3 linked regions of the Arabidopsis thaliana genome follow. The protein of the gene in region 2 interacts with the protein of the main gene of each other region in a pairwise test. Each region holds a gene or a part of one and is shown on either strand. Other genes may lie near its edges. The genes, in order: AT2G20110, SAUL1 and AT5G03050.

Region 1 (10,219 bases), on a different chromosome or scaffold from region 2:
TTTACCCAATGTAATAATGCTATTCGTTCTTGCAGAACTACCCAACCGAGGAGGAACTTTGCTGTGTATACGTTCCCACGAACCACCTTTACATTGGAGATATACTACTTGTCAACAGTAATGACGTTATCAGGCCAAACCTCTCTGTCCGGGAAGGAATTGGTGAGATTTCAGAATCTAATTGTCTATACTAGATACATTTATCGTTTGTTATATAGCATTCAAATTATTTTGTGGAAAGATACTGAACACTGTATACTCATTCTTCATCTGCAGAGATTGTTGTTTCCGGGGGAATGTCAATGCCGCAGATTCTATCGACTCTTGATAAACCTTTGGCCTCGATTGGAAATGAATCTTAAAGTGACTATTCAAAAACCTTTGGCCGATCGATAGGAAAAAATAAAAAATCAGAAGAGACGTTTCACAAAATCTGAGCGAATAGAGAAACCAAAAAACACAGAAAAATTTGTCGAGAAGTGTAATTTGTCAATATTATTTGAATAACCTTGTTTTCTTTTAGCCCTTTTAAAAATAATTTTTTTTCTTTTCTTATAGATTATAATTTGTATCCGCGTCCTTGTGTCTTTCATATTACTGTCGCATTGACTTTATAACAAAAAGATAATCAAAGATAATCCCACCCTAATAATAATCACATGACAAATGGCAATATCGTTTTACATATTAGGGAATAGTATAAAATGTGGTATATATAGAGAGACATTGTTGATCGAAGAAAAAAATGGTCTAACATTTCTCTGTCTAGCTCTTCTTTTGATCTCAGGTACGTTTTGTTTCCAACATGTTACTAATTCTTATGGTGAAATAAAATACTGCAGCTAAAAATGTATCGACCAAAATTTTCTTAGAGGAGGATTGTGCTTAGCACCTGACCTAATTATGAATCTTCATTTCTCTGCCTTTGTAAACTTTAATTTATTTTAGAACTTTATCTCATATAGAAATCTCAAATATATATATATTATAGTTTTTGCTTAACTTTTATATTTAAAATAAATCTGAAAGTTGTAAGAAAATTATTTTCCATATCAGATTTAACATTGGGTGCAGTCTTGGGAAAATATATAATCGTTAGAATAATTTTCTCTTTTAATGTGATAATTCGAAGACGTATGTAACAAACAAAAATGACAATAATAAATATTACAGTATAAATCATTTAAAACATATACTATAATTAGTTATTTTTTGCTTAAATATGATGGAATTGTTTTGATATTGCTTAAGAATCAAAAATGTTTTACTCTAGATAATAAAATATTTATTGTAAAGTTTATTTTTACGATGAATGTATATGATTTCAAGTAGAACAAATAAATTTTTGATATATTAATTCACAACAATAAAATTAATCTTTTCATCTTTTGAAAATAATTTGTATACAGTAATTTGAAACAAAAATTAATCATGTTATAATTAAGAAAAGGATAAATAAAAGAAGACAGATATAAAAAGAAAAATCCAAAAACGACAGAGAGCTCAAGTTGGAGTTAGCTAAGCTTAGCTACAAAAGAACAGTCGCCGGCAAAAGTCTCAGCCTTTTTCCTCTCCGCCGTTCACAGTTCACCGGCATTTCTCTCTTCTTTCTTTTTCTCCGACTAGATTTCCTTGTCTCTTTGGTTTCTTGGCGATGGGAGACGAGAAGCCGGTGATTGTTATGGCCAATCGAGAAAGAGATCGAGAGCTTCTGATTCCCGTCGCTGATTCCGGCGACAAAGACGACGGTTCTTCTTCGAAGCCTTCTTCTTCTTCCTCTGCTTCTTCTTCTTCGCATCAATCCAGCCACGAGGTCTAGTTTTTGTCACCTGATCTAAAAATCTTGTTCTTCGTTTTCTCATTTCAAGATTCATGCGCAATTAACAGTTGAATTGGATTGGTTTTAAGCTCTTAGGTCTTTTCAAGATTTAGTCTTCAGAGATTTGGCCCATTCTGAGAAACCCCTTAGTGCAAAATCTTGGAACATGGTTTAGCCCTAGATTCAGTATATTACAAGAACACTTGCTTAGATAAGTTTGGTAGTGTGTTAACACTGATCTTAATTCTTAAGATGCTTATAGAAATTTGACCTTTCCTCACTGAGTAGAGTATTAATTTGCATTAGATCTTAAGTGTTTTTATTGGGATCTGTCAGATTCTTGAGTCTCTATGTCATGCTAATTCATGTTTTCAAGCATATATAACACATAGGAGCATTGTGATCTGATGCTTTATCTATTTTTCTGCAGACTTTAAGCTTGTTCATTAGGGGCTGGGCGTCAAAGAAGTTCATGACAGGCTGGTAAGGAAGAGTTTACTGAAATTTTGGCTTGATGAAACTTGTCACATATTCAAGATTTGTGCTGATAGTTTCAAATCTCAATTGCTTTTTGTAGTGTTATCCTACTTCCTATTGCAATTACTTTCTATATAACATGGTGGTTTATTCACTTTGTCGATGGATTCTTCTCTCCAATATATGCACAACTTGGAATCAACGTATTTGGTAAGAATTTGAGTGGCCCTTCTTTATCGAATGAACAATTTGATATCGTTCCGTTTCCCACAATAAGTTTGATTATGGTTTTTTGTAGGTTTCGGTTTTTTGACTTCCATTGCATTCATCTTCTTGGTTGGGGTGTTCATGTCTTCGTGGTTGGGGGCATCGGTTCTGAACTTGGGAGAGTGGTTTATCAAGCGGATGCCGTTTGTTCGTCACATCTACAACGCCTCCAAGCAAATCAGCACTGCCATATCGCCTGGTCTAGCTTGCTTATAAAAATCTTGTTTTGCTTCTCAACATTAAGTTGATCTCCTATCTCATCTTGTTCTTATCCATTTCTCATCACAGATCAAAATACACAAGCTTTCAAGGAAGTTGCAATCATCAGGCATCCCCGTGTAGGTGAATACGCATTTGGCTTCATTACATCAACTGTTGTTCTCCAGGTGAGTGAAATTGCTTTGCTCAACGATTTTGGTAAAGGATACGAAGGCAGATACAATCTCGAGGCATGGTTTACTATAATTACATCATTTGTTTATCCAATGTAATAATGTCCTTCGTCCTTGCAGAACTATCCAACCGAGGAGGAACTTTGCTGTGTATACGTTCCCACGAACCACCTTTACATTGGAGATCTACTACTTGTCAACAGTAATGACGTTATCAGGCCAAACCTCTCGGTCCGGGAAGGAATTGGTGAGATTTCAGAATCTAATTGTCTGTACTAGATACATTTATCGTTTGTTATATAGCATTCAAATTATTTTGTGGAAAGATACTGAACACTGTATACTCATTCTTCATCTGCAGAGATTGTTGTTTCGGGTGGAATGTCAATGCCACAGATTCTGTCCACTGTTGATAAACCTTTGGCCTCGATTGATAGAGCTACAAGCTTATAGTTTAAAGCAGAAGAATTTCTCTTTTTGTTGGGATTTGTTGATGAGTGTTTGTGTGTCTCTGGAGTCTCTTCAATATTGTTGTAATATTTCATGTGTTTACAAGTGTATAATGTAAGGTAGGTCTCTCTCTCCCTCTCTTCTTAGATATGAATCTTTTTCCTGAAAATATTATTCTTCTTGAAAAGTATTGCGAAATTTCTTCTAGTTTTACAAGAATTGACTAAATCCTCTTTTTTTAAAAGACCAAAATTTGATTTGGTTTATTTATTCTTCAAATCTCAAGATGAAGTAACATCAGGTCTTCTATAGTGCCTAAAGCATATCAGAATCAGACAATAGCATGTATGTTCCACAATAAGCATCACTGTGATTGCCAATGGTAAGTAACAATGTACACAAATAATGACAACAATTTTTGTAAAGAAACAGCTCTCTTATGAATCAGAGAGAAGAATTTGGAGGAAAGGAAAGACGAAGAAAGCCTAATAATTCAACCAAAATTATTGTGAATAGTTATTTAGTAATACTCTCTAAGCACCTGCTAATGCGCTGAAGCTGCCACCTCTCCTCTGTTTTAGAATATGTAAGAGGAATGAAAAGGAGTGTTGGTGGCAGTACCTCATATATCAGGCATGGGGAGATGGATGCAGCTGCATTTCTGTAAAGTTATTGTTTCCTAGAGGAGTAAATAATTGATTTAGAGGTCTTTCTTCTCAGACAAAGCTGGAGTTTTATGAAGATGAGTTTGTGAGGATGTGTTTGGTGTTGTTGTTGTTGTGGTTAGCTGGGAAGGTTGCTTTGCCGTTTGTGAAACTCCATTTGCAGTTTGTGAGGATGTGTTTGGTGTTGTTGTGTTTAGCTGGGAAGGTTGCTTTGCGGTTTGTGAAACTCCATTTGCAACTGGAGCTTGTTGAACCACTGGGTCGATTCTGACAGTCGTTTGTACAGGTGTATCTAGATCCATTCTTGACATAGAACAATTTGATTCTGCAACAAACAAACAAAAAACTAGGTTTGAATAAGTGAATCTTTATGTCTGGGCATATACTCCATTTTCTTGATGATATAAGAAATGGTTACCTTTTACTTCTCCACAGGAGATTATTCGGTTAAGGCAGTCACGGAACTTGGTTAATACTACTTTTTCTTGTTCTGCATAAACCTGGTCTTGCCCGTTTGGTAGCTGTGACGTAGGCTCCACCGAACAATTAGGTGAAGCTGCAACCATTAACATTGTGTCCCGTTCGTCACACATCAATGCCAAAGTTTCTGGAGATAGTGACCTCCCTTTGGAGCCATCTGCATTTGAATCCTCTAAACCAGATTTCTCAGCTTTATTATTGACGTGTCCTTGATCTTGCACAGAAGAAGCTACGGAAGTTTCTTTCTGATTTGCTAACCGTTTTTCTGTTAATGTCTTTGCAGCTTCCCCAGCTACAGCAACCAGAACAGAACATAGTGCTTTCACATCCATTGGTTTAATTATGTTTGCCAAAAGAGACCTTCAAAAGAAAACATATTTTATAACTCAGTTTCTGCAAGTCTCAAAGAAAAGATTTAGCTTTGTTAACACATCAGAAATTTACTTATATACAACTTTGGATGGGCCTAACGACGCATTGCCTCCAGCACGAGAACCAGTTTGCGAAGATGTGGTTCTTCCGTTATTTGCCTGATACCAATAATTATACTATAAGATCTCTCATTTCTCTAACAAAGGAGGAAATCATATAGAACCCGACTAAGCAAATAAACTTGCGTAAATGATTTACCTGGCCAAGCCTATGAGTGGATGAATCTTTGGTTCCTTGGTTGAAGAAAATCTCCTGACCTTTCCTTCTCTTAGGAGGTGGAGCAGATGCAAAGCCAGAGGAACCAATAGCTCCGGTTATGGCAGCATTTGCGTGTTGAAGATAAGCCAAGTTGTGGGAATGTTCACCGTGAAAAAGAGATTGTCTAACTTCACTCCCTTCAAAGTTTTTGCAATCCAAGCATTTGCAGTTCTCAGAACAAAGAATGTTTGCTTGAAAGCACTCACAATACTTCTTAAGACATCCGGATTTCTTGCAGTGACAGCCTTTGTTGTGTCTCGCTAACATCACAACGTCACCAACCTCCTCCTGCAAATCGAGTCAAAATTTATAACTTATCCAACAACCTTAAGACCAACAGTTTAAAGAGCATAACACAAACCACATACCCTGTTATCTCGTCCACCATGTGGACTAGCAGCAATCTTTGGCCTGAACGCATTCGGATTCCGTTCCAGAGTTGATTCAACCGCTTGTCGTCTCGCAGGTTCATTTTCAACGTTGTTGAAACAATTTACACAGTTGCAACCATCACAGTAAGTGCCAGATGCAAAACATTCACAATACCTGATCAAAAAAAGACATTGTACAGTGTTCAATTCACAATGAACAAGTCCACAAAGAAACAAAGAGTTTTGTCATCAAATGGTATGATGAGAGACTTACAGCTTCAAGCACCGTGAGTGTTTACAGTTACACTGTTTCTTCTTCTGAGGGGTTCCATCTCTAGTTTCCCCAGCAGGCCTTGGCATCGAATTCGGAGATTCGGGCCTCCTGCAATTACAAAAACAAGTGTCAACTCTAGAAATTCAAACCTTGCCTTATTCACTATGAAAATCAAAATGTCAATTTCAATAATCTTTTCAAATCAATGTAAAGATCTATGCTTTAATCCCCAAATCTGACTTCAGCAACATAGAAACACATCTCTATCAACTTCCCAAAAGTTCAAATTTTTGAATAAGAGAGAAACTTACGGATGTCTAATTGGGACGTGAAGGATGATGCCCTGAGATTGTGGCGGCGGTGGAATCGGAGTCGCCACCGTCGGTGGTGCCTGACTGGTAATTATTGGCCGCGTAACCGTCACAATCGGTGAAGGGATTGATGCAGCAGCCATCGAAGAAGCTTGATTAGAGTGTGAATGCTCAACATCGGAAGAACCACCAGTAAAATCGAGTTGCCTCGCCGACTTCATAGACTCTTGTGTAACCTCATCCGTTTTTGGCGGGAATTTGTCTCCTTCTTCACCTTCTCCCATCTCCAAAAAATTCGAATTTCTCAGAAGAAACCCAGAAATTTTCCCTATTTTTCAAACACGAAATTTAAAAAAAAAAACCAAAATTTATAATCAGTTTGAGAAACACACAAAAATTTCAAGATCTGAATCCGCCCTTAATCCCGTTTCTACGAAAACCCAGAAACCGAATCTACTAAAACTCAAAACGGGATTTTGAAATTCGAATTTTTGATCTAGACTTATTGAGATAGATAGATGAAATTAGGGTTTTGAAAGGTTTTAGCTTCTGACGAAGAAGAAGAAGAGAGATTTGGTAACCACTGAGGAACCACCCAACGAAAAAAAACAGAGAAATTTGGGGTTTTTCTTCTTCTTCTTCGTCTTCGCGAGAGCTGCTCCTCCCTCTCTTATACATGTTTTGAAATTTCAATTTTCTGGATTATATTCGACGGTTAGATTTCACAGACATTTTGATCGTACGGTTGTTATTAAATACGTTGATCTGACGATTACTATTCATATAAGGTTTGAAGTTTCGTCGATCGTTCACCGTCCGATCCGATCACTCGTGACTACTACATAATAGAGAAGTAATGTTTTAAAATAACGGTTTTGGCCCAAATTATTAAGTTACTCACGAAAATGCCCCAATAGTTTTAAATATTCAAAAACAAAAACAAAAAATCTAAGTAAGAAAAGGAATCGAAACTGACTATTTTGTTGATGTTGCGTGATGAAGAGGAATCGATTTGCGAATCTATGTTCTTCCCCAAAATCAGGATTTTGAAGAGTTTTTTTTTTTTTTTTTGGTTTAAACTTTAAACATGAAGTGAGGAAGAGTTTGGGTTTATAATTGATTTTTGGGGATTTATAGAAACTGAAAGTGACTTTTATTTTTAGTTAACAGTTTGATTATCTTCTCAAAATAATAAATTGATAACTAAAAATTAACATTTAGTTAATACAATAGTATAGTTAAAGTTGACTAATTTCAGGTCTATTTTGCGTGGTCAACAAAAAGAACATTGATATTTACTCTATTATAAAGTTGAGATTTGTTTTAACACTTATTACCAATAGTTAAAAGATTTATTATATATATTTTCTCTTTTAATTAGATACGTAAATTTTAGAAGAATATTTAATTTTTTGGTACCAATAAACACACAAGACTTAAAAAGACTTAAAACACACAAGACCAACGAAAACTGAAAATCATATGAGTGAACTATGATGTTCGACATCGGGATTAGATCCTTTCCTATGTGCTTTTCATGTTTGAACTTTTGTAGTTGGTTTAATTTTTAGGTTTTATTCATTAGGCTAGATAAGAACTTTGTACAACTTAGGTGGCATGGAAGCTTCATTACAGGTTTCCTTCATACTTTAGAGATGGAATGAAAACGTAAGACTGTGATTCCATTTTAAAAATTTGATGTCACAAATCTATTAAACTTATTTTCAGGTTAATTAAATCTTAAATTTGATTCCACAAAATTCTACAATAAACTCATTGTGCTAGAGACCAACTGCTAAGTTTGTTCTTATAAAAGTTTTTAAAAAAAAATTTGCATGAAAATAAAAGATATTACAAGTCTCAAACCATTTTATATTTTATGTTTTAATACGTTGAAGGACACTTCACTATATGAGGAATTACAAAAGTATATATAAGCATACTAATAAAACTTCAATCCAACTAATGCTTCTTCCTCAAGTTCATTTGCACAACACTAAAGCACTGACCATGTGAAATTAAGGCTAAGCTAATGCCCTAAGTTACATTATAGATCTCTAAGACTCAATCCAAGAGTTTTAGTCTTTCATTATTTCATCATTGAACAATGACTATTAATGATACAATATGTGACCTAAAAATAGCTACCTTTTCAATTTTGATTTCTAATAACGTTATCTGCATCCACACCAGTACACTACTACTATCAGGAAATGCAGTCTTACTCTTTATGAAGCCACCAGAAGTTTCTCCACATTGAATTTTTCATATATTGACATTTGACATGTGCTGAAAACAATATCCATAAACCCATGGGCCTGTAGAATTTAATTCAAAGTCCATAAACCCAATTATAGTGATGGAGCAAAGGGCTTATAATAAACCCACCAATTGAGCACTACCAATTCCAATACCATGGTGAGATGTCTGAAGTGTCTAAAAATAAACTGAGCTGAGACCATGCACGAGAAATCTAAAAAGACAACTAAAACAAACGAAACTTTGATTAGGACAATTTATAAAAGAAATCATTAGTCTCTAAATTATTGGGAACAGAAAGTATCTATAAGTACATCTGTTTTCTTTCCGAAGACAACATTTCTTGCTTCTTTAAAACATCTTAAACGATTAAACCTAGTGATGAAGTTAGTATGAAAACATCTTTAACTGTTTAACCATTCTATTATAACAATAATAAAATTAAAATAGAACCAACATATACATTAAGAGAATAAATAAAGTTTCCTATTAAAGTAAGAAAAACATGATTCAACAAGCCATCTCATACTCGTCAACTGAAAATGCTCAAAGGCCAAACGCCAAAACCAATCGGTTTTAGTATAGCATCATGAGCAATCAAATTTGGAAACTCATTTTGATGTTTTCTCAATTGATTGGTTGCTCATGATGTTATAACATCTACTATTTTTTTTTGGCTGACCAAAAATAAAATAACAGAAAGTGAATAGTTCACTGGAGAGTGGTTCCGAACGCCGGAGCCCAATAGTCGGCACCATTGTCGCTGCCAACTTGTAGTGTGCATGAGATGGGAACAAGACAAAGCCCTCTACTTCTCAAATCTTTCATCGGTTCTTCGTTAGGATTTGATTTTTGATTGTCCGTCGATGACAATGAAACTCCTCTTTTCATGCAATACTCATTCACAAGCTGATTAACCAAATCAGAAAATATTTCTTCAGCATAGATATTTAAAATAATATTGAAAGTGTGATCTAGTGGGAGTATTGGTGACAAAACGGGTTGGCCTACTTCGCAACAGCCCAAATTCTTTTGCGGTGGGTCGGCCTGTATTACATGTAAATGATATATGGATAAAATAACCTATGCCAGTTTCATGAATATTTACTGTTTTGCAACCAAAAAATGAATATTTACTGTTTTGTGCACCAATCCGCGGGTTTAATACCTTTGAGTGTGAGTATTTTGTATTTAATTTTCTGAATTTGAAAAGCGATAAATTTTGCTTTGAAAAATATTGCTAAAATTTTGAGTCAGAGTTAATTTCAAACTCACAAGTAGTCACAAAATATAAAACCATTTGTGGGACAGGTGAATCGTGATATCTTGGTTGGAAAAGTTGATTTAGATCGATCATTTGCCAAAAAAACTTTTGTGACCAAAGCTACTCTGATTGAGGAAAATAAATATAATAAATCATTTAAATGGCTTTTCTAGGTTTAATAGAGGACTGAAAAGGAAAGTTGGTAATGTCATCTTTTTATTTTATTGACCATACTTTATCGTAGTCATTTCAATTTCAAGAGAACAATAGTAGAGAAAAAGGGTAATTGTTTTGGAATAAAGCTGGCAAGTATTTATTTTTTTTAAATTGAGATTTGGGTTTAGTTGATCCAATAAAAAGTAAAGTATATAAAACTAGAAAGTAAAAAAATATATGTGCGTACCTGACCAGGGTCCTCAGGAAATATACCATTCATATTTCTTTGTGCCTATATTCACGTAATTACAAATTAATAATGATTAGCATTCAGATACATTTTA
Region 2 (10,992 bases):
TTCCGTGAGATTGAGGTATGACTAATTCAAGTGGCAACACCTATGTACACTCCAGCCGTATATTTTTTTTTCTCCAGTTCTTCTATGTGCATTTTCCCTTACTAGGCTTATCTAAACTTCATCATTGTTTTTTTCTTTTTCTTTTTCTCTGGATCATGTTGTGCGTCTTGTCCTCTCCTCTTATTCTATGGCCCAATGCTCCCTTCTTTCACCTTTGCTGGTGAAGGGGCTTTGAATAATTTTGTAACACATCTTACGGAAATTTGTTACTTATTGAACTTTTGCTTTGCTAACCCATCCAGGGGCGGAAGATGGAGTTGAGTCAAGCAATTGTGAACATGGAGCAAGGTGGTAGTGCTGATGGTCTCCTTCAGGTACATGCTATTCTATATGCTTACGAGATGCCTTAACTGTCGAGTATCTGCTGTACATGCCTGATTTGATGCTGTACTGGGCACATTTAGGTCCGGGCTGACAGAATACAATCAGATCTTGAGGAATTGATGAAGGCTTTAACTGAACGATGCAAGAAACACGGGTTGGAGGTTAACTCGAAGGCCCTTGTAGACCTTCCAGCTGGTATATGATTCCGTTGCCTTGTGACTTCTTGCTTTCGTTGTAGATGATTGCAAATAACATGTATTTTGTAAACAAACAACTTATGTGGAATTTGCTATGTTGTGACTTACAGGCTGGCAACCTGGAATTCAAGAAGGTGCAGCTCTTTGGGATGAGGAATGGGATAAGTTTGAAGATGAAGGTACAATGTTTTTTCCTATCTTTCTCTTACTAATACACTTAGATATATATAGTTAAGCACATAACAAGGACATTGACTGATAATGTTCCCACTGTTAGGTTTTGGCAATGAGATCACTTTTGACAAATCAAAAGAGCAAAACTCGTCTGGTGAGAAGGAAAATGGTACGGTGGATGATGGTAGTGGGCCACCTGATTCGCCGACCCATGTAGAGGACAACTATGGCCCTTTTTCAGAAACCTCAGACCGCCACCATGAGAGTGAATATGGGACAACTCACAGTGAAGATAGAAGTCCTAGAGACAGTCCTGTCTCTAGGAATGCTACTGAGGTCCCATCTCCAGATTATTCTCAGGGAAAGAATTCTGAATTCTTTGATGACTCGAATTGGGCAAGTGCATTTGACACTAACGATGATGTGGATTCAGTCTGGGGATTTGATGCATCAAAAAGCCAGGTTAGTAAAGAAACATAGTGTCTCTCGCTTTAACACATCAATCCATCTATCAAAATACTAAATCAAATCTTTCAGTTGTGACGAATAGACATTGAACTGATCTTTTAATTTCTACAAGATTTTGAAAATCCGTATTAAGTTCATGCTTTTCAGATTTGCGATGTTACATTTACCTTCTGTATGCTGAATCATTTAGTTATCTATTCAGAGTCTTAACCAAGCTTAGCATTTTCAATATCAACATTGGCAGGATGGAGATTACTTTGGATCAGGTGACGATTTTGGTGGAAACACAGCAAGAGCAGATTCTCCAAGTTCAAGAAGCTTTGGCGCCCAGAGAAAGAGCCAATTTGCATTTGATGATTCAGTCCCCAGCACTCCACTCTCAAGATTCGGGAACTCTCCACCTCGGTTCAGCGATGCATCAGCTAGAGATAATAACTTTGATAGCTTCTCCAGGTTCGACTCCTTCAACACCAGTGAAGCAGGCGCCGGGTTTTCTTCGCAGCCCGAGAGACTGTCTCGGTTTGATTCCATCAACAGCTCCAAAGACTTTGGTGGAGCTGCCTTCTCTAGGTTCGATTCAATTAACAGTTCCAGAGACGTCACTGGAGCTGAGAAATTTTCGAGGTTTGATTCCATCAACAGTAGCAAAGACTTTGGTGGTCCCTCGCTATCAAGATTCGACTCTATGAATAGTACAAAGGATTTCAGTGGTAGCCATGGATACTCGTTTGATGATGCAGACCCGTTTGGTTCCACAGGTCCCTTTAAAGTCTCTTCGGATGAAAGCCCTACGAAAAGGTCAGATAACTGGAACTCCTTCTAGCCTCGGTTACTATCGTTCCCTTTTATAATCCTTTTTCCTCGCTTGATGAACTTGTGCTTGTTTCATAATTATAATTTTTTCACCAAATTCTGGTTTTGGATGAGACACTAGCGTTAGTCTATTTGTAATTTGTAAAGTTTGTCTCTGTATTGGTTTCCTACTGTATCTCTGTTATGTTATGAATTCATTTGCTTTATATGAAAGAAATATTTGAGGATTTCGTCGTGGATAAGAGATTAAAGGACAATGAAATGATTTTATTTTTCTCCATTTTTACTGTTTCTCTTCTCCAAAATGTTTTATTATTTTGATATATCCTTAGCTCGAGGTCTTGTAAGAACTTCTGGTAACATTTAACCAAATCAAAACAGATACACTTGAAGGTGGTAGCTACAAAATTGAAAATCGAGCTAATGCATTGGTACATTCTAACCCTCTGACTCGAAGAAGATATGATTTTCGCAGCATCAAACTGCTATGATCAATGTAACATCAGTCTTTGAGGTTGGCTCCATTCTGTTTCCGTTGAATCCACTGAGCACATTTCAGGATCAGTTGTTACCAAGGAACTTCACTTCTCTGTGATCCGCTCAAAGGCAGATATCATCGATGCACGCATGTTGGCTATTTCCACCAGAGTTTCAAGAGCTGTCCAAAGACGAGAGAAAAAAGAGTTTCAGTTGTAAACTGGAATCTTCCTTTGAGTATACTTGTGGTGATGAGGATGTTACCTGTTTCAAATGATTGTTGAGCGCCACGCAGCTTAGGAGAGACTAGACCTCCAAATACTGACAGAGATTTTGCCCGTTCTTTCTTTATCTGGAGCTCAACACATTCGAATTAGTAAAACCATCGTCCTACATTTTGAAAACAAGTAGAGTTTCTGCAGACGGTTAAATGATTGCTCACCTCTTCATCAGCTGCTAAAACGGTTTCATCCTTGGCTGATGGTTTCTCTTCTATCGAATTACATAAAGCAAGAGATGATGAAACACCGACAAACAAAGGGCAGAGAATAACCAACAGATGAGTCTTTTTTTACCAGAAACTCCTCGATGTCGTAGCTGTGGGCTGAGAGGTGAGCCTATCTCCGAATCTGTATCAGTAGAGAAGTCTTTGCCTTTCCTGCTACCGCCCTTGGAAGCCCACTTGGACAAAGCAAAATGAGGTACTGATCCCAAAGATTCAACTACAAGAGTCCATAGACATACACTGTATATAAGTTGCTTCCCCGCAAAAAAAACATAAATTCATAGCATATAAACGTAAACCATTGAACTATCAAACGCCCAAAGCATAAGCCAAACTTACCATCTTGGTCAGTCACTTGCAATGTTGAAGAAGCGGGATGATACTTAAGATCTAAGAGAGTGCTGTTGATGCGTAAAGTTCCCATAGAATGTCGAGCACTAGCTAGATCAAACCATCCCTGCAAAAATAACACATTTCAGTTCCATACCAAATAAGTTAATTAAGGCAGCAGACTCTCACTCTCATCATATCAGTGATATGAATCCACAAAAAAGTTTCTCCTCATGGCTACTATAGCTAGATAATCAACGAAAACGTTTCCCACGCAATCCTTTTTAATCCCAGATTCAATTCAATTCAACACAGAATATCTCAAGTCATCTATACATCAGAACATAAGAATCATTCCCATAAGATCCCATTTTAGCTCAATACACCAAATATCATTCCAATTACCTCTCGAAGCTTAGAATTCACAGAATCCATAAGCGTTAAATATCCATCCAACGAATCTAGAAACTGCAAAACATTCTCATCTCCTCCCCCTTTTCCCAGCTCAGTTTTCACTTCTGATTCTTTATTCACATCCACTGATTCATCTCCTTCCTCGTAAATCTCCGCCATCGAAATTTAGCTCCAACACACGCGAATCAACAAATCGAAGCTTACACGAGGAAGACAACGTAAAGCGATCGAAACAGAGACAGATCAATTTCTCGAGTAAACGAGGCTATTTTCGTAATATTTCAATTAGTAAAGGCCCAATAGCCCAAGTAGAAGACAACGTAAAGCGATCGAAACAAAGACGGATCAAACGAGGCTATTTTCGTAATATCCAATTAATAAAGGCCCATTAATACCAATAGCCCAAGTCGAAAGATTACCTCTTTCGGGTCAAACCGGTTATGTTTATGGGTGGGTGGGTAGAGCAAGTCGAGTGTGTGTGAACACAGCGCCAGGCTGTTTGTCTCAGTTTGTCAAGTTGGCGTTTGGTGGCTCCACGTCTCTCTCTATCTCTCTCTCTCACATGACTTTTCGATTTTAGTCAACCTTTCGTGCTTTTCTCTTAAAAATTCGATTTTTTCTTCAACCCATCTTCTTCTCTGTTATTTCCTCTCGCTTTTACCTGTCTCTCTCGTTCTCGCACGGGGATAGAATCAACTCTGCTCGAGATTTTAGTAGGAGGCAAGCTCGATTGCTTGCAATTAGATCCATGGATGAAGAAGAACTCACACTTTCTCGCGCGTTTTTAGCTCAAGGAGATTTTTGAAGAAGTGGTCGTTTTCGAATTGTCAACTTCAGAAGAAGAATCAACTTTGGTTTTTTCTTTTCCCTTCTCTGTATAGCTTTGAGGAGGCGCTTCTTCAACTGGAACAGGCTGGTGTGCTTTTTTTTTTATCTCTTTTGGTATTTTTGAAATGCTTCATGAGACGTTGTTTCTCTTCTTTATCTTTTTGACGAATATTGCTAAATTTGGTAATCTTGCTATATAAGGGTTCATGGGAGTGATGATTTTGGGACACTGTTACTTTTCGTATTTTAGGTTATAGTTATGATTGAAAGTTTGAATTTTGTTTCCTTGGCTGTGAAAGAATCCGGGAACCAAACTGTGGTACTATCCCTTTTTGTGTTTCCAAAACTTTCTCATTCATTTACTATCAAATTTCGACACTTTCTTACCAGACTCTCTTGCATTGATGTATCCAAGTGGGTTTTCATCTAGGATCCTATGTTTCATAACAATGAGGTATTTGCTTGTACATTTGCAGTGAGTTTGAAGGATTAAGATGGTTGGAAGCTCGGATGGTGACCAGTCAGATGATAGCTCTCATTTTGAGCGAGGAGTAGATCATATCTATGAAGCATTCATCTGCCCATTGACAAAGGAGGTTATGCATGATCCTGTCACTTTAGAGAATGGTCGAACATTCGAGCGTGAAGCCATTGAGAAATGGTTCAAGGAGTGTCGGGACAGTGGGAGACCTCCTTCTTGCCCTTTGACATCTCAGGAGCTGACTAGCACTGATGTAAGCGCCAGCATAGCTCTGCGTAACACTATCGAAGAGTGGAGATCCAGGAATGATGCTGCCAAGCTTGACATTGCTCGTCAGTCACTGTTTTTAGGGAATGCTGAGACAGATATTTTGCAAGCTTTGATGCATGTGCGACAGATTTGCAGGACCATCCGATCAAATAGGCATGGTGTACGCAACTCTCAGCTTATCCATATGATCATCGACATGTTAAAAAGTACTAGCCATAGAGTGCGGTATAAGGCTCTACAAACTCTGCAAGTTGTCGTTGAAGGAGATGATGAGAGCAAGGTTGAATCTGATTTCTTTTCATCTCTGCTGAATATTTAGTGTAGCATTTTAATGGGAAATTGAGCGGGTGCTAATTAAATTTTCAGCATCTTGCAGGCGATAGTAGCTGAAGGGGACACTGTGCGTACACTAGTTAAGTTCTTATCACATGAGCCATCAAAGGGGAGGGAGGCAGCTGTTTCCTTGCTGTTTGAGCTCTCTAAATCAGAAGCTTTGTGCGAGAAGATTGGTTCCATTCATGGAGCACTAATATTATTGGTTGGTCTGACAAGCAGCAACTCAGAAAATGTTTCAATTGTTGAGAAAGCTGATAGAACCTTGGAAAATATGGAGAGGTCAGAGGAAATTGTTAGGCAGATGGCTTCATATGGTAGACTCCAGCCTCTTCTAGGCAAACTCCTTGAAGGTGAAAGAATTTCTTTTCTTTGTTTGGTTTTAATATAACAATTACGCTCTCTACTTCATTTGCATAAAACAAGTTATCATCTTCCTTCAGTTGGTAAAATTCTTCCTTCAGTTGTTCGGATGCATCACAGTGTTATGGTATTCTGCCTTAGAATTTGTTTGCTCTAGGAATTTTACATGTTCGCTTGTAAGAAGAGTCAATTTTCTTCTACCCAGATGGTCAAATCTTTCATTATTTTCCTCTGTTATATGGCAAATTTCTTGTATGAATAATGACACCACATGTGAAATCTGCAGGTTCACCTGAAACAAAACTCTCTATGGCTTCCTTTCTCGGGGAGCTTCCCTTAAATAACGATGTGAAGGTTCTTGTGGCTCAGACTGTGGGTTCTTCTCTTGTCGATCTTATGAGAAGTGGTGACATGCCCCAACGGGAAGCTGCCTTGAAAGCTCTTAACAAAATCTCATCGTTCGAAGGGAGTGCTAAGGTCTTGATCAGCAAAGGAATTCTCCCCCCACTTATCAAAGATCTGTTTTATGTGGGGCCAAACAACCTTCCAATTCGGTTGAAAGAAGTCTCTGCCACTATTCTTGCTAACATAGTGAACATCGGGTATGACTTTGACAAAGCCACTCTTGTTTCAGAGAACAGAGTGGAGAATCTGCTCCATCTAATTAGCAACACAGGTCCAGCGATCCAGTGCAAGCTGTTGGAGGTTCTTGTTGGACTCACCAGTTGCCCAAAAACAGTTCCAAAAGTTGTTTATGCAATTAAAACCTCCGGTGCAATCATCAGTTTGGTTCAGTTTATAGAGGTCCGAGAGAATGATGATTTGCGGTTGGCTTCCATAAAGCTTCTTCATAACCTTTCCCCATTCATGAGTGAAGAACTAGCTAAGGCCTTATGTGGCACTGCTGGACAACTCGGAAGCCTTGTTGCTATCATTTCAGAAAAGACACCAATCACTGAAGAACAGGCTGCTGCTGCTGGGCTCTTAGCTGAATTGCCAGATAGGGATTTGGGTCTTACTCAGGAAATGTTAGAAGTTGGTGCTTTTGAAAAAATCATATCCAAAGTGTTTGGAATCCGCCAAGGGGATATCAAGGGAATGAGGTTTGTGAATCCTTTTCTGGAAGGACTTGTGCGTATACTTGCTAGGATTACTTTTGTTTTCAACAAAGAGGCTCGGGCCATTAACTTTTGCCGTGAGCACGATGTTGCGTCACTCTTCCTTCATCTGCTCCAATCCAACGGGCAAGATAACATACAGATGGTGTCCGCCATGGCTTTAGAGAATCTTTCACTAGAGTCTATAAAGCTGACACGGATGCCTGATCCGCCTCCTGTGAACTACTGTGGCTCGATCTTTTCGTGTGTGAGAAAACCACACGTTGTAAACGGGCTGTGCAAGATCCACCAGGGAATATGTTCATTAAGAGAAACATTTTGCCTTGTCGAAGGAGGAGCTGTGGAGAAATTAGTGGCTCTATTAGACCATGAAAATGTGAAAGTGGTTGAGGCCGCACTTGCAGCTCTATCGAGCTTACTAGAAGACGGGTTAGATGTAGAGAAAGGGGTCAAGATACTCGATGAAGCGGATGGGATACGGCATATACTAAACGTTCTGAGGGAGAACCGAACAGAGAGGCTGACAAGGAGAGCGGTTTGGATGGTGGAAAGGATCTTGCGGATTGAAGACATAGCAAGAGAGGTGGCAGAGGAACAGAGCCTGAGCGCTGCACTTGTGGACGCTTTCCAAAACGCTGATTTTAGAACGAGACAGATCGCTGAGAACGCGTTGAAACACATTGATAAGATCCCAAACTTCTCAAGTATATTCCCAAACATCGCATAGGGAAAATCTCTTTGAAACTGTCCAGTGAGTTATAGTGATTTTAAAACTGTGGTTTTTGTTTTGATGGGATTACTTGTTAATAGGCATCCAGTTTTTTTCTGGGTATATATTGTAAATTCCGATTCTTATTTGTTTATAAATCCTACGTTGGAAATCGAAATCATTTGATTGGCCTCAGATTAAAAAGGCTTATGTGTGTTGCGGAGGGAGTTGTGCTTACTTTTGCATCAAATATATATTGAGTTCATAGATTAAACCAATTTGTAAAACGTTTTAAGCTTCACACAAACTGATTTGAGATTTGGGAAGAACAAAAACAACTCTTTCTTCGCACCCTTTAAATAAACTAATTTAGTTAATAAAAGACAAAGTACGATTAACCAGACCCATAATAGCCATTACAGATGAGATGACTTCAGATCTGGTAACGGTCTCGGTCTCGGTCTTGGTCATGGGCATAGGCATAGGCATAGGCATAGGCATAGGCATAGCCATGGCGATGGGCATAGGCATAGGCATGGCCATGGGCATAGGCATGTGCATGTGCATGTGCATGTGCATGGGCATAGGCATGGGCATGGGCATGGGCATAGGCATGGGCATGAGCACATGTACATGTTCTTGATCCAGTAATCCAATCACAGAAGACCACGACGGCTTAAACAGAAAAAAGTCTCGATCAGCATCGCACCACGTTGGAATCGAACCCAAAACTCTCCACTTGTTAGCTCTCAAGTCGTATCTGTGAATCACTGAGCCAACCAGACTCATCATCCTCACCAGTAAACACTTGCCGTCGTACGCCTGCACGTTCCAGTACAACAACGGTAAACTTTGGTGCACCACCTCGTTCTTGATCCACCTCACGAGGATCCATTGACCATCAGTCTCGAGGGCATAAACGGAAATCACTGCATCAGTAGCCGATATCAATGTCAGGCGGTTATCGCCGGTACAGAGCAAGAGCTTCCCCGGTTTCCGGTTAAATTGGCTTTGAATCAGTCGTGCTTTCTCTGTTTCGGGATTGAACGCTACGATGCTCCCGTCTTTTCTCAGCCAGTGAAGATCTCCGTTCACGTAAACAGGTTTCGAATTCTTACCCTTTTTGAGATTACTTGCGCGGCAAGTAATGGTGGTTTTCGATAAGCTCCATGATTCTCCGGTGTTGATCCTGAATTGATACGTCGTTTCGTATGGATTTGAAACCTCTAGCTGCTCGGATATGAAAACGATTTTGAATCTCTGAGTGGCTCGATCGATCTGATCAACCGCGAACCCAATCCACGTTTCGTTTCCCCATATAGAGTAATGCAGGAACCGGAACTTCTTTGTGAGAGGATTAGCGACGCAGAGGATACCATTAATGGATAATAGGACAAGGCCGGAACAAGAACCGAGAATATTACACAAGTTCTTCAAGGGTGTCATGTTTTTGAATAACCTAGAAATGGCATAAGGGTAGAAACAGAGGAATTTAGAGCCAACTTTGGAGATATGAAGCAAACTGGACCCGATCCGAGAAAAGTATTCGAATTTAAAATTTGGGTCGTCGGATATATGCGTGTTGATAGATTTATTTGTGCATCGCATCTTCCCCAGAGATTTGGGATCTAAGTTGAAGAGAATCTCATCGAGGAGATGCAAAGGTAATCTCTTCATGCTGATCTCAGTGAGGATTTAGGGTTTATGTTTTTATTTTTGTTCCTTTGGATCTGCGTTGAGGTTTATGTTAAGCGATCTATTTGACCAGATTTTTCGTTTAACATCTCCAGATTTTTAGTTACTCCCAAATTATCCCCATTATTAGAAAAATTAATTGACTTCTTTTTCGTTTATTTTCTTTGGGAGATAAGGTTAATCAGTTTAAAATACAGGTCAAGGATAAAAGATTTATTTCACAATATAATTTGGTTCATGGGTAATACATACAGAGCAAAATTCATACCATTGCTCCACACTAAACAACACAAAAACCAAAGTTAAAAACTTTCAACAAAATCTCTAATCAATCCAAAATTACACAACTTCAGATACCTAATAATCTAAAACCAATACACAGAAATCTCAATTTAACAACAAAATTGCAAACCCAATTCTTCAAATCTCATCAAACACCAAATCGTTTAACGCGATCTACAAAATCGATTAAAGCCAAAACGATATTCTAATACAGAAATCTAACATGTGCATTGACAGTGATCGCAGTATGGTTCCGATGAATTAATCACATTTTCCTCAACAATGTAGCAGAATCAGAGAACTCTTTGTCCCATGGCTAAAAAGAGTACACCACAGTCCACACAGGCATACGACGGATATCATAATCTTTGAACATCAATAGACTTCTTGACCTTACGTGCAAGGTCTTGGCTGATCAGATGAGAGGCAAAACTCCAGAGCAGATGTGTGAGCACTTCAACATCAAGAACGATTACACACCTGAGGAAGAGGCGGAAGTTCGCAATGAAAACAAGTGGGTGTTCGAGTGATTGGATTGGAGTGGATCGGTGTTTAGGACAACTTAATCTCTTGTCTATGCAAACTTCATGGAAGTGGTATTTACATGACAATTCTCTCAGCTCTGTTTCATCTTCATAGTCACATAGACAAATACACCATTTCTAAAACAGAGAAAGATTCATTTATTTTTTTAGAGTGTATGTCAAGTAACTTGTAACTCATTTTTCAAAATTTAAAGTTTTTAGATCCTTACGTTTTAGAACCCACCATTGGACAGCCTAAAAATTAAAAACATTCAAAGTGTCTAAATTTTGAATTTTTTATTATTAAAATTATAAAATTATGTTTAGATTTCAATTTGGGATCCAACCATTAGTCCATAACAACATTTCTAATTAATATTTGTTTGGTCAACAACATGCAATATACGCAATATGTTCAGTCACTTAACTAACTTGTAAACCACAAAGCCAAACTCAGTAATATTTTTGACCCAAGAGACAAAACAAACAACAGAAACTCTACATATACAGTTTTGTTACATTACAATGTGGTGATCCAAAACTGACTAAGATGGTCCGAAGGAAAAAGAGAAATGACAATGGTTACTGCGTACTATGCTTTTTTAATATACATAGAACCACTTATTC
Region 3 (10,105 bases), on a different chromosome or scaffold from region 2:
GGTGAGCCAGCGAGGCTCTCATCGTCTCTGACTGATGAACCAGCAATGCTGTGTCTGCGGTTCCTCTCGGACAGGACCGAGATTGTGCTTTTGGAGTCGTCGTCATTGGATTTCCTCGAGGATTGGTTTAGCCTTGAGGGAGTTGGAGGTGAGAAGAAACTGTTTTTGTTTCTTGGGGTCCCTCTTGCGGATGATGGTGTGTTTGGTTGAGTTGAGCCATTGCGGGTTAGAGATTTTGCAGCTTCGTTGCGGTTAATAGAGCCCTTGACCGAGGCAGCATTGTCATTGTTGCTGTTGCTTTGTTCTTTCTCGGAACTCTCTAGTGGCCTACCAGCCATCCATCTCTCTAACCAGCTCCAACCCCATGTCGGGTTGCTTGGATCCATGAACATCGGGTTTCCAGATTTAGAGTTGTTCTTCCAGTTTTGCTGCAAACATGAACATATAGGATCATTACAACATTCAAATGAACCACAGATTCAACTTCAATGGATGTGTTCACTTTTTAATTGTATCTTTCCACACATTCAGCATTATAGGTAACGACTGGAGTACCTGATGAGAGTATGAATAAGCCAATGCCCTTTCCCTTCTCATTGTTGCCTCGTACTTGCTTAGCAAATTCGCTTCAACTTTCTCCTTTGATTGAATGCTATCATTCCAGTTATCCCCGTTCTGTGAGCAGCAACAGGAAAAATAGTACTTTTATAAGCAAAGGCCCAAAGATTCCATTTTCAGATAAAAAAAGAGACAGTAAATTGATAGTGTAAGTAAACATCTATTTGATATGAATGGTAATGCTACTATTAACCCTTTCCAGACTAATAAGCAGAAACATAATAGCAACTGCTAGGAAGAAATCAACAGTTCTTACTTCTTAGCAATCCTCTCACCAAAAACAACGGAAGAAACTTTGAATAACAAGAAAAAAACTGAATCAGATGAATATGAGAGACAGACCTTCAAGCCAGCTAGCTCTTTAGCATGTTTCTGAAGGAGTTGTTTCTGGCGAGCCTGATTCTCTTCTGACATCCTGATTCTCCTAGCTCGGATCTGCGACTGTACACGAGAGAGAGTCTGCATACATTTTAGAGTATTTGCAGCTTGCCGCTTAACAACAGATCCTTCCATCAATAACTTAAGTCTGACCAAACCCCTCATTGCCCGCAACGCTCTCCTTGCCTGTATTTCAGATATTACACAAAATAAGATTATACTCAACAAAGCAGCTTCCTTCACACAAAATCAAGTGCCTCGGTCAAACTCATACGAAATTCCGAAGGAATTAAGTTTCTGCAGATAATAAAGCCAATTGCAAGAGTAGAATTACATACCAAATAACCTCTAAATATAGTCTGGATCAAGATAGCAGCGGCTTCTTCGTTTGACTTTCCAGCAAATCGAGTAGGTGTAGCGCGACGAACAACACCAGGAGCAGATGAAGATGGAACTACAGGAACATCAGTAGCTGTAACATTCACAGCATCTGCTGTAGAAGGAGGTGAAAGATCCCTGTTCCGTTCAACAATCACTTCAGCTACTCTCACTTCACGAGGAGCAAGAGCAGGAGGAGGAGAAGAAGAAGATTGTCTAACATTATCCACAACAGGAGGATTAGAGATAACACCATTTTGTCCCTCAGCCAATTTTTGCTTCGACTTCTGAAAACACATCAACATGTCAATATATACAGACTATAACATTAAGTCACATCAATATACAAAAAAAAAAACTTCACCTTTGAATCTGGGCTGAATGCTTTCTTAACACTTGAAAACCATTTAGCTTTTTTCCCCATCTCTATGTAATCCTTCACAGAGAAGAAACAAATTATTCCACAAGGAAACTGAATCTACTGATCTCAGTAGCTAAATTACGACAGATCTCGAAATCTAGAGCTAAAATTCACCAATTGATACTGAATCAGGGAGAGAATGAATCGTACCTATGAGAAGACAGTGACACCAGATCTGATAGACGAAAAAGCTTGAAGATAAAACCTGGAGGAGTCAACTAAACCACAACGCGGCTTCTAAGTAGTGACCTTATCGGAGAAGACGAAAAAGCTTAAGAATCGAATCGATTGGATCTTTGCTGAGGTGCGAAGATAACTTTTCTTCTTCGAATTGCTTTCACATTATCATAATTGCAAATGGAGAAGAGAGAGAGAGGAGAAGACAGATGGATTCAAAGCTGTGTGAAGAAGAGTATTTGTGACGGTGTGTGTTTGTGCGTGATGCCACTTAATTGGGCCTCTTTTGTGGGCCCCATTCTACTCTTCTTTTTTTCCTTTTCTTCTTCTTAATTTACCAACTTCGTCTCTCTTTTACTCTATTCTTTTCACTTTTTTTTTTTAGTGATGAGTTTTATTTCTTAAGTTTCATAAACACTGTTTTGTTAATTTTTCTTTTTATAGTATAGTATCTTTAGATTTATTATTATTTGGTGCATTTCAAAAATAGTATACATAGTTGACATGGTATATTGGTGTTTTCTCTAAAAATGTTTGAAATTTTCTTAAAATATGGATAACGTGTAAACTGGAAAATGTATTGGATTTTGTACCTTTTTTGAAACTAGATAATTTAATGAACAAGTTATGAGGATCGATAAAACAGTGACCATATAAATTTTAAATTAATTTATAACTTTATCCGGTAAGATTGGTCTTTAATTTCACCTAATAAAACAAAATTGTTGCAATAAAAAGTTTTTATTCGTCTTTAATTTTTGTCTTTAGGCGGGTTAAAATATAACACTATATTTTTGCCGTTAAATATCTGTTATTAATCGAATTAAGATTTAAGATCGTATTTTTTGTCGTCAAATACCAATTGTTTATCGAATTAATTCATCTGCATAATCCGTATAAAGTATGTGTGTTTTAATACACGCTTACATTACTACAACCGACAAAACATGTGAACAAAATATGTCCACCAGTGAGACAGCCTTTATCATTTTAAAATATACTCGTTAACAAGCCACCATATACGATACTTAATACTTTCTGGATTTGATAAATCATGAAAATTAGTTGGTCATTGTACTTGTACACCATATCATATTTTATGTTCAGATCCACCCACACTACTAAGTTAATCTCCGATGGATGAACAAAGAAAATATTTGACTCATAATACCTAGTGACACAAACCATAAATAATGCTTTGGAAAAACTCGTTTTATGCAACAGCTATTAGCAGACTGTATTTTGCTCTATGATCGTGTATATCCACCACAAAAGCAATTTCCCAAATTATATGGATTGACATACAGTGAACTAGAACGATGATTGAAAGAGTATATAATTTTTGTCCACTGGATTAAGTATTATCTGCCTGAAATCATTGACTTTTTTCGGAGATAAACCCAAAAGGTTCCTTATCGGTGGCCAGCTTGTACCAGTCTTCCTGTAATTTTTGTGGTTAAGAAAAAAAAAAAAAAAAAAAAAAAGCATATATATGTCCAATCACTCCATGTGGCGTCTTCTCTGTTTCGTTAGTATAACATCCCTAAAATTATTTTCATATAAAATAAGTGAGAACTAGCCGTTGGAATTTGATAATTTATTTTAGCTAATCATATGTCCAACATATCAAAGTCCTATGTATAACTGTTTATATAAAGATATGCCTCTGATAACTTATAATATTAATAGGTATCTGTATATCCAAAGTCGGTAGTTGAATTGGGGATATGGACATTCCACCTAATGTATAATTCAAACTTTGTCGTTGCCAATAAAATAAAAAATAATTATAAGCTATTATGAAAATTTCTCTCCCCGTCGGTCAACTTTGAGTTGGTCTTTGCATTCTAGCAAGTGAAATTTATAAGTTAATTAAACCGGGGGAAAAAAAAGATAACTAAACCAAAATTGAACCGAAAAATCCATTTGGCATTATCTGAAATGTAAGTGGGGCATGGAAATAAGGTCAGGGCCGTTAGCGTTTTAAAGATATTTAGATGAGCCAGTGAGTTTGGTAACGACCCGACATTTAAGTCTTGTCGTTTTGTAACAGAGCAACGGTAGAAGATTCCTATATTGGCTAACACCTAAACCTGAACCCATGATAACGCCATACCTTTTTCTTCCCAGTGAATTTAATTGAATTAACAGTTTACAACTTCATATATAGATTAGTCCATGTCCATCTATATCACCTCAGAGAATTTAATTTCACCACTATTCAACTTTTGTTACTACTTCAGTTCATCTATTTTTTCAGTTAAACATACACATTTAAAATAATATTTATAGTTATAAGAAAACAATTTTATAATAATATTTTTTAAAAGATAGGGTTACGTTCAGCATGAGAGTTTTTGGGAGATTGAGTTGAAACAAGAACTGAGAAAAACATTTAAGAATTGCAAAAGAGAATGAAGAGTTACTGGTTTTTGATCGAACTAGAGATATGAGTCATTTTCTATATTCACTCCAAAATCTAATAAAGAAGCAAACACAATTCTGGTTTTAATTAGCTGAGAAAGGTTCATGATAAGCTATTTCTATGTTTCCTTCAAAACATCATAAAGTTTTTGAAACTGAAGAAATCTAAATTCTCAAACCAACCATATGTTGATCTAAAGTTATATATATGACTTCTTACACCACTGGACGACAGAAGATAATCTATTCTTAGTAATGGCTGATAGTACTTCTTGATAGGGTTTTAGACTGTTTACCTCATTGCTCAATGCTAGGATTCTGAATCAGATAGCGAGCGTTGTGTAAGAGGGAAGTAGTCTCCTCGTTTGATGCATCAAGCAAACGCAACTCCTTGATCTCGTCCTGCCATTTCTCAACATGTTCCTTGTGTATCCTGTTTCATAAATGTGAACAGTGTTACACATGTGAGTGTATAAACATCTCAATCATGGTACATACAGAAACATTATAGAATCTCTTCAAACTCACATGATCAAGCGTTCTTCGAATTCGTTACTGAGTTCCTTGAGCATTGTTTTCCCTGTTTCCAGCAAGTTAGAAACCTACCACAAGAAGCATCAATCAATATCAGATTCTTCCTAAACTTAAGCAATCAGGGAAATGATAAGAGCAGCTTACAGTTTGTGTGAAGCTCTCAATCTTATCGAGAATTTGCGCAATGCTAAGTTCCATCTCATCAGAAGCAACAAGTTTCGTCTCAGCTTCTTCATTCTCAATGGTATGATCAAGGCTAATTCCATCTCTCGAATCTCCTTTTCCCTCTTCATCCTAACAAATTTCACAGGACAAAATCAAAAATCTGATCCACCACAAAATCATCATCACCAGATCAACGACAAATTCAAAAAAAACTTACAGATGCTCTCATGCGTTTCCGAAATCCTCCATTCCCTGCGTCTTCTTCCATTTCAGTGTTCATCAAAACTGCAGTAATTTAAAACGATGCTCATGAACGCATAAACAGATTAAGAATTAAGTTTTCTACTCGATGCGATTGAATCCACTAGCTAAAGCATCGCAGCAGATTCCGATTTCAAAATCTAAAAACCGTACGATTACATCCCCAACAATCTAGCTTAGGATTCTACAATAGAACGGAAGAAACTAGATCGAGATCGACGAAAAAACCTCCGAAAGAGATTAACAGAGAACTTACGCGATGAAGATCGAAGAAATTGCTCAGTACGAATTGGAGAGAAGAAGATGAAGAAGTTTTAGAGAGAGTCCAGTGAGTGTAGAGAATGAGGAAGAAAAGCCAATTTGTTTATTCCGAGAATCCATTTAAATAAGCGTTTAGATTTAAGACTTATTTTATTTTATTGTCTCTGTTTCATAATCATCACTAATTAAGTAATTATGCTTATACAATGCTATTGGCGTTTTAAGTATGGAGGAGTGACTCAAGAATCAAAGCGATTTAGATGCGATTTGATATTAAGCCGAGTAATCCAAACATTTTACAAAAAACATACAGCCAAAATATTCACCTAATCAGATACTAATCGTTTTTTTTATCTATCTCGTCCAAAAAATGTTACAACCTCCGGGACAAAACAAAAAACAATAAACCGGAGGATCGATAAGATATACCTTAAACTAGCTTAACTTAAGAGTGAGCAACTTCTTCTGGCTCAGTGATCACTGCATCGAGAAAGGTTCAAGACTTGTTATAAATATCCCGGGACCTTTTAAAGGGAAGCTCAACGAATACATGTTCAACTGATGATGATGATGATGATGACGACGATGATGACAATAGACGATTTACTTTTGATGAGCTTGGTCCAGCTGATTGTTGTTCTTGTTTTACATCAACAGAATTTTCAGAGATTATGTTACTCTCTCTTGGATGAGGATTATCATTTTCAGCATCACTCTCGTCAAGGATCACAATCGTATCTGCACACAACAGAAAATATTCAAATAAATTTTCTTACAAGAGAGGTTCACCAACATATCAAGAACATACATACATACCTGTTGGAGTGTTATTCACATTATGATCATCCACCATAATAACCTCATTCTTGATAGTCACATTATAATCCTCCACCACAATAACCTCATTTTCGAAAGCCACATCGCTACTCCCTAGACCGGCGAGATTCTCAGCATCAAAAAGCGATTTCAAGAATGAACATTGTGATTCAGCCGCATCAAATCTCTCTTTCAATTCAGCATACTTGTTCTCCATCTTCTTCAGCTTCTCCACTTCTTCCTCTTTCGCAATCAAAAGCTCCTGATTCTTAACACTCAAATCATTGATAATGGCCTCTTTCTCACTGATCATTCCCTTCATCTCCTTCATATACTCCTCTTTCTCACTTCTCTCTTTCTCTAAATCCTTAAGCAAGCTTAGAATTTTCTCCTCGAGTTCCTTAATTTGCTTCTGATATTGAAACTTCATTATCTCGTTCATTTCATTCATCTGCTTAAAACTTTCCTCTATACTTTTGTAATCTTTTTCCAGATTCTCATAATTCTCCTTGAGAATTTCATGTTTTGTCGCCAAAATCTCCTCCTGAACAACCAAATTTCTTCTTGTCGGAGTAGCCACCGACGAGATTTTGTTCTTCCCCGATTTGTTTGAACGAGCTGATGATTTTCCAGTCATGACGTCGAAACCCTAACCCTGGATATCAACACAAACAGCGGTCAAGCTTTTACTAGAGCTTCTTTATCTTTGCCAAATTTACAAAATTTCACAGATTTCTAAAGAAACCCTAAAACTCAAATTCGTTCTAAGCTCCACCGGAAGAAGAACGGGGAAACTAACACTAGCGGATCTTTAAACCAAAATGTACAACGGAAGAAGAAGAAGAATCTTACCCAGAAAATCTTTTGAATCTTCTTCTTCTTCAAACGACCAGAAGAGAGAAAGAGCTAGCTACTGGAAAATGAAAGTAGCTACAGAGAAGGGAAAAAGCAAATCCCTAGAAACAGAGAAAATGAAGCGGGAATACGAAAGGACAACATATTCATGATCAAGTTAATAATTGAATCTTTGTTTAGTGTTAAATTGAACTTAATCCAAATTTTTGTTCTCTTCCCATTCATGTCCTCAAACAAGTAAAATCATTTACTTTAGTTTAGCTTAGATTAAAAAGATAATTCGATATTCAAATAAAATACCACCGTATCTAAAAATCATAATTACATTGACAGTGTATCTTATAATTGGATTTGAAGTGACAAGGAGGATACGACAAAAAGGAATCAAACCTTCGGTGAGACAAAACTGTATTACAAGTAGTTACAACAACAACCCAAAAGACAAAACCTAAAGACTATTGTCTTTCTCTCTCACTCACTATCGTTACAAGCAAACGCTAAGATGACTAGTTTCCTTTTGATTTCATCATCCGACTTTCTTTGTATTCTCACCCTAAAATCCGAGGCGATTTCATTCATCGATTCCATAATCTTCACCAAAGTATTTATCCACAAGACTGTTCGCCATGACTCTCAGCTCTTCGTTCTCATGAAACTGAAACCGTTCCATTGCATCGATACCGTCTTCTCCTTCCACAAGCTTTGGCCCTTCCCCGTTTGGCATTCCTCTTAAAACCTATCCACCAAAGAAATCAAAACCAATTAGGATCATTCCTGTTCCAAATATGACTATGCGACATCAACATATAAGCAAAACTCGTGTCTCATTGAGCTTTTAAGAGCCATTTAATTAGTTGCTTACCAGCTCAATGAACTGAAGACCAAGCCTAGCAGCTTCGATATCAGGAGATCTGACCAGCTCAATGAAACCCCGGAGGCAACCGCCACTGACAATAGAGACTAAATGCTCTTGAATTATCCTTGGTTTTCTGTCTCCTTCTGCAGATTCTACACAGAGATTTCCCAAGACATAGGCAACTTCTTTCCTTATATCAAAGGGGGATGTGGAAAGAATCCGTAGCAACAATGGCATTACTTCAGTAGAATGTATCATTCTCTTGTGTTCAATAGATCCCGCCGCTATATTAGATAGCACCCAAGCAGCTTCCTACAGAATCGAGTATAGTGATGAAAGCTTCATATAATTGTAAAAAATTAAAACCACAACGGGAATGTGATACTGACCTTCTTTAAAACACGGTGCTCGCTTCTTAAGCACTTTGCAAGCACACCAATGATGCTTTCTGAAATTTAGTTTGCAATATAAGTATCTTGAATATATAGGATTAAGGTGATGATGTTTAACCCGGAAAAGATAATAGATACTAGCCTTCAGTGTTCTGTTCACGGATAAGAATTGTTAATACTGCTTTGGGATCAACAGCGACAAAATTGCCTAAACTTCGGAGAACCTGGATTCACATTTTTGTTTTAGAGATAATCAAGAATGCAACATTTGAAAATTAAGGACCACGTAGTGAGTATTCTGATTCTAATCATTCATGCTAATATGAGTATAAATGACATCGATGGGACTTGGAACTGGAAGCAATTGAATAGCATAATCTGAGGTAATATTTTAACTAGAATCCTGTTTCTTTTGGACGATAAGGTCTATCTGAAAGTTACCGGGATGAGAAGTTGTAGGCTACTTGAGGTTGCTAATCTGTCAATAAGTAGTTGAAGAATGCCTCCCTTCAAGAGCATACTTGTAGCGATATCTGAGAGGGCAGATAGGTAAACAATGATCCATGCAATTTCCGTGGCAGTTTCCTCATCCCTGAATCCAACAATCAATAATATTTTGATCAAATTATTCACCAAAATTGAACAATAGAATATCAATGGCATAAAACAGACCCCTATAAATCTAAAGAATCACTAAAAAGCAAGACACCACAACACGCTAAGAAATTGTTGAAATTCAGAGAGATGTAACTTTGCTCACGTTTTCTTCAAGTGTCGAAGAATTGCATCCAGTATCCCATCAATTTTAACAAGTTGTGCTGCTGCCTTTGACTCAGGTCCCTGTATTAAGGTATAATGAAAATAGTTTGTAACAAAGGCTTGTAAATTATAACCAAGGTGATAATATCCGTGCCAGGTTTTTCCCCACCTTAATCAGATTTGACAATGCCCATGCAGCTGTTCTCACTGTTGAACCCTTGTCGGGAAAAATCATACGTGCTAGAGGTGGCAAAGCCCCTTGAGACAAAAGAACATTTCTCAAATCTTCTCCTTCACCGGCAACATTACCAATTGCCCATGCGCACTGCTCAGCCACCGGTGCGGAGCTCTTTTCTGAATATAAACTTGGAATCATATGAAATCTAATCCAACAAAAACAATAGAGTAATAACAGACTTGGTTGGCCAGTACAACAAACCTCCAAGGTGAGCAATGAGTAACGGCAATGCAGGTAATAGAGCTTTTGTTTCTTCAGGTTTTCCAGCAGCAATGTTGGTAAGACACCAAGCTGACTCAAGTAACTGCAGTTAGACAGAACTGTGATCAAAAGATTACAACTCTCCTTAATATATCTTCTTTCAATGCATGAGTTACTTGTCAAAATCTACAGTAAAGTGCCGGACGAATATATAAGCAAATAAATGCAAGAACAAAGGTATAGTATTAAAGCATATATAAGGCAAATGTAACCTGTTCGTCGGGGGAGCCAAATGAAAGACACTGCACAAGTAAAGGTATTGCACCAGCACGGAGCGCAGCTTCAACAGGAGGGAACTCAGATTTTGATAA

Evidence for each region.
Region 1: the proteins of SAUL1 (region 2) and AT2G20110 interact in binary tests that used the Arabidopsis thaliana proteins (3 or more experiments, as listed by UniProt).
Region 3: the proteins of SAUL1 (region 2) and AT5G03050 interact in a two-hybrid assay, tested with the Arabidopsis thaliana proteins (2 studies listed by BioGRID).

What each region holds. Positions count from the first base shown.
Region 1 is NC_003071.7:8,680,757-8,690,975, reverse strand, and holds AT2G20110 (Tesmin/TSO1-like CXC domain-containing protein), read right to left. Parts: upstream 6,860-10,219; 5' UTR 6,481-6,859; coding exon 6,197-6,480; intron 5,994-6,196; coding exon 5,886-5,993; intron 5,787-5,885; coding exon 5,609-5,786; intron 5,529-5,608; coding exon 5,181-5,528; intron 5,081-5,180; coding exon 4,995-5,080; intron 4,911-4,994; coding exon 4,489-4,910; intron 4,417-4,488; coding exon 4,106-4,416; 3' UTR 3,758-4,105; downstream 1-3,757. Other genes in the region: LCV1 (uncharacterized protein), read left to right, coding at 36-162, 277-362; COV1 (CONTINUOUS VASCULAR RING protein (DUF502)), read left to right, coding at 1,655-1,813, 2,250-2,302, 2,397-2,506, 2,595-2,762, 2,852-2,949, 3,076-3,202, 3,317-3,408; AT2G20100 (basic helix-loop-helix (bHLH) DNA-binding superfamily protein), read right to left, coding at 9,167-9,502, 10,123-10,167. UniProt on the Arabidopsis thaliana protein: Plays a role in development of both male and female reproductive tissues.
Region 2 is NC_003070.9:7,212,728-7,223,719, forward strand, and holds SAUL1 (senescence-associated E3 ubiquitin ligase 1), read left to right. Parts: upstream 1-4,293; 5' UTR 4,294-4,678; exon of another isoform or gene 4,679-5,066; 5' UTR 5,067-5,084; coding exon 5,085-5,621; intron 5,622-5,717; coding exon 5,718-6,027; intron 6,028-6,323; coding exon 6,324-7,882; 3' UTR 7,883-8,115; downstream 8,116-10,992. Other genes in the region: AT1G20760 (Calcium-binding EF hand family protein), read left to right, coding at 1-15, 303-374, 465-579, 692-760, 859-1,217, 1,468-2,046; AT1G20770 (coiled-coil protein), read right to left, coding at 2,618-2,694, 2,778-2,865, 2,956-3,005, 3,089-3,235, 3,358-3,475, 3,754-3,921; AT1G20790 (F-box family protein), read right to left, coding at 8,234-9,541. UniProt on the Arabidopsis thaliana protein: Functions as an E3 ubiquitin-protein ligase. Prevents premature senescence probably by targeting proteins involved in this process for degradation. Promotes the degradation of AAO3 and thus represses abscisic acid (ABA) biosynthesis.
Region 3 is NC_003076.8:710,609-720,713, forward strand, and holds AT5G03050 (knotted 1-binding protein), read right to left. Parts: upstream 5,740-10,105; 5' UTR 5,613-5,739; intron 5,381-5,612; 5' UTR 5,376-5,380; coding exon 5,313-5,375; intron 5,225-5,312; coding exon 5,075-5,224; intron 4,999-5,074; coding exon 4,925-4,998; intron 4,830-4,924; coding exon 4,694-4,829; 3' UTR 4,693-4,693; exon of another isoform or gene 3,435-4,692; intron 3,414-3,434; 3' UTR 2,619-3,413; downstream 1-2,618. Other genes in the region: iqd2 (IQ-domain 2), read right to left, coding at 1-428, 556-675, 961-1,182, 1,335-1,661, 1,739-1,798; AT5G03060 (striatin-like protein), read right to left, coding at 6,114-6,355, 6,434-7,070; IMPA-9 (importin alpha), read right to left, coding at 7,860-8,024, 8,151-8,456, 8,534-8,592, 8,679-8,760, 8,978-9,128, 9,297-9,376, 9,465-9,649, 9,735-9,837 and 1 more.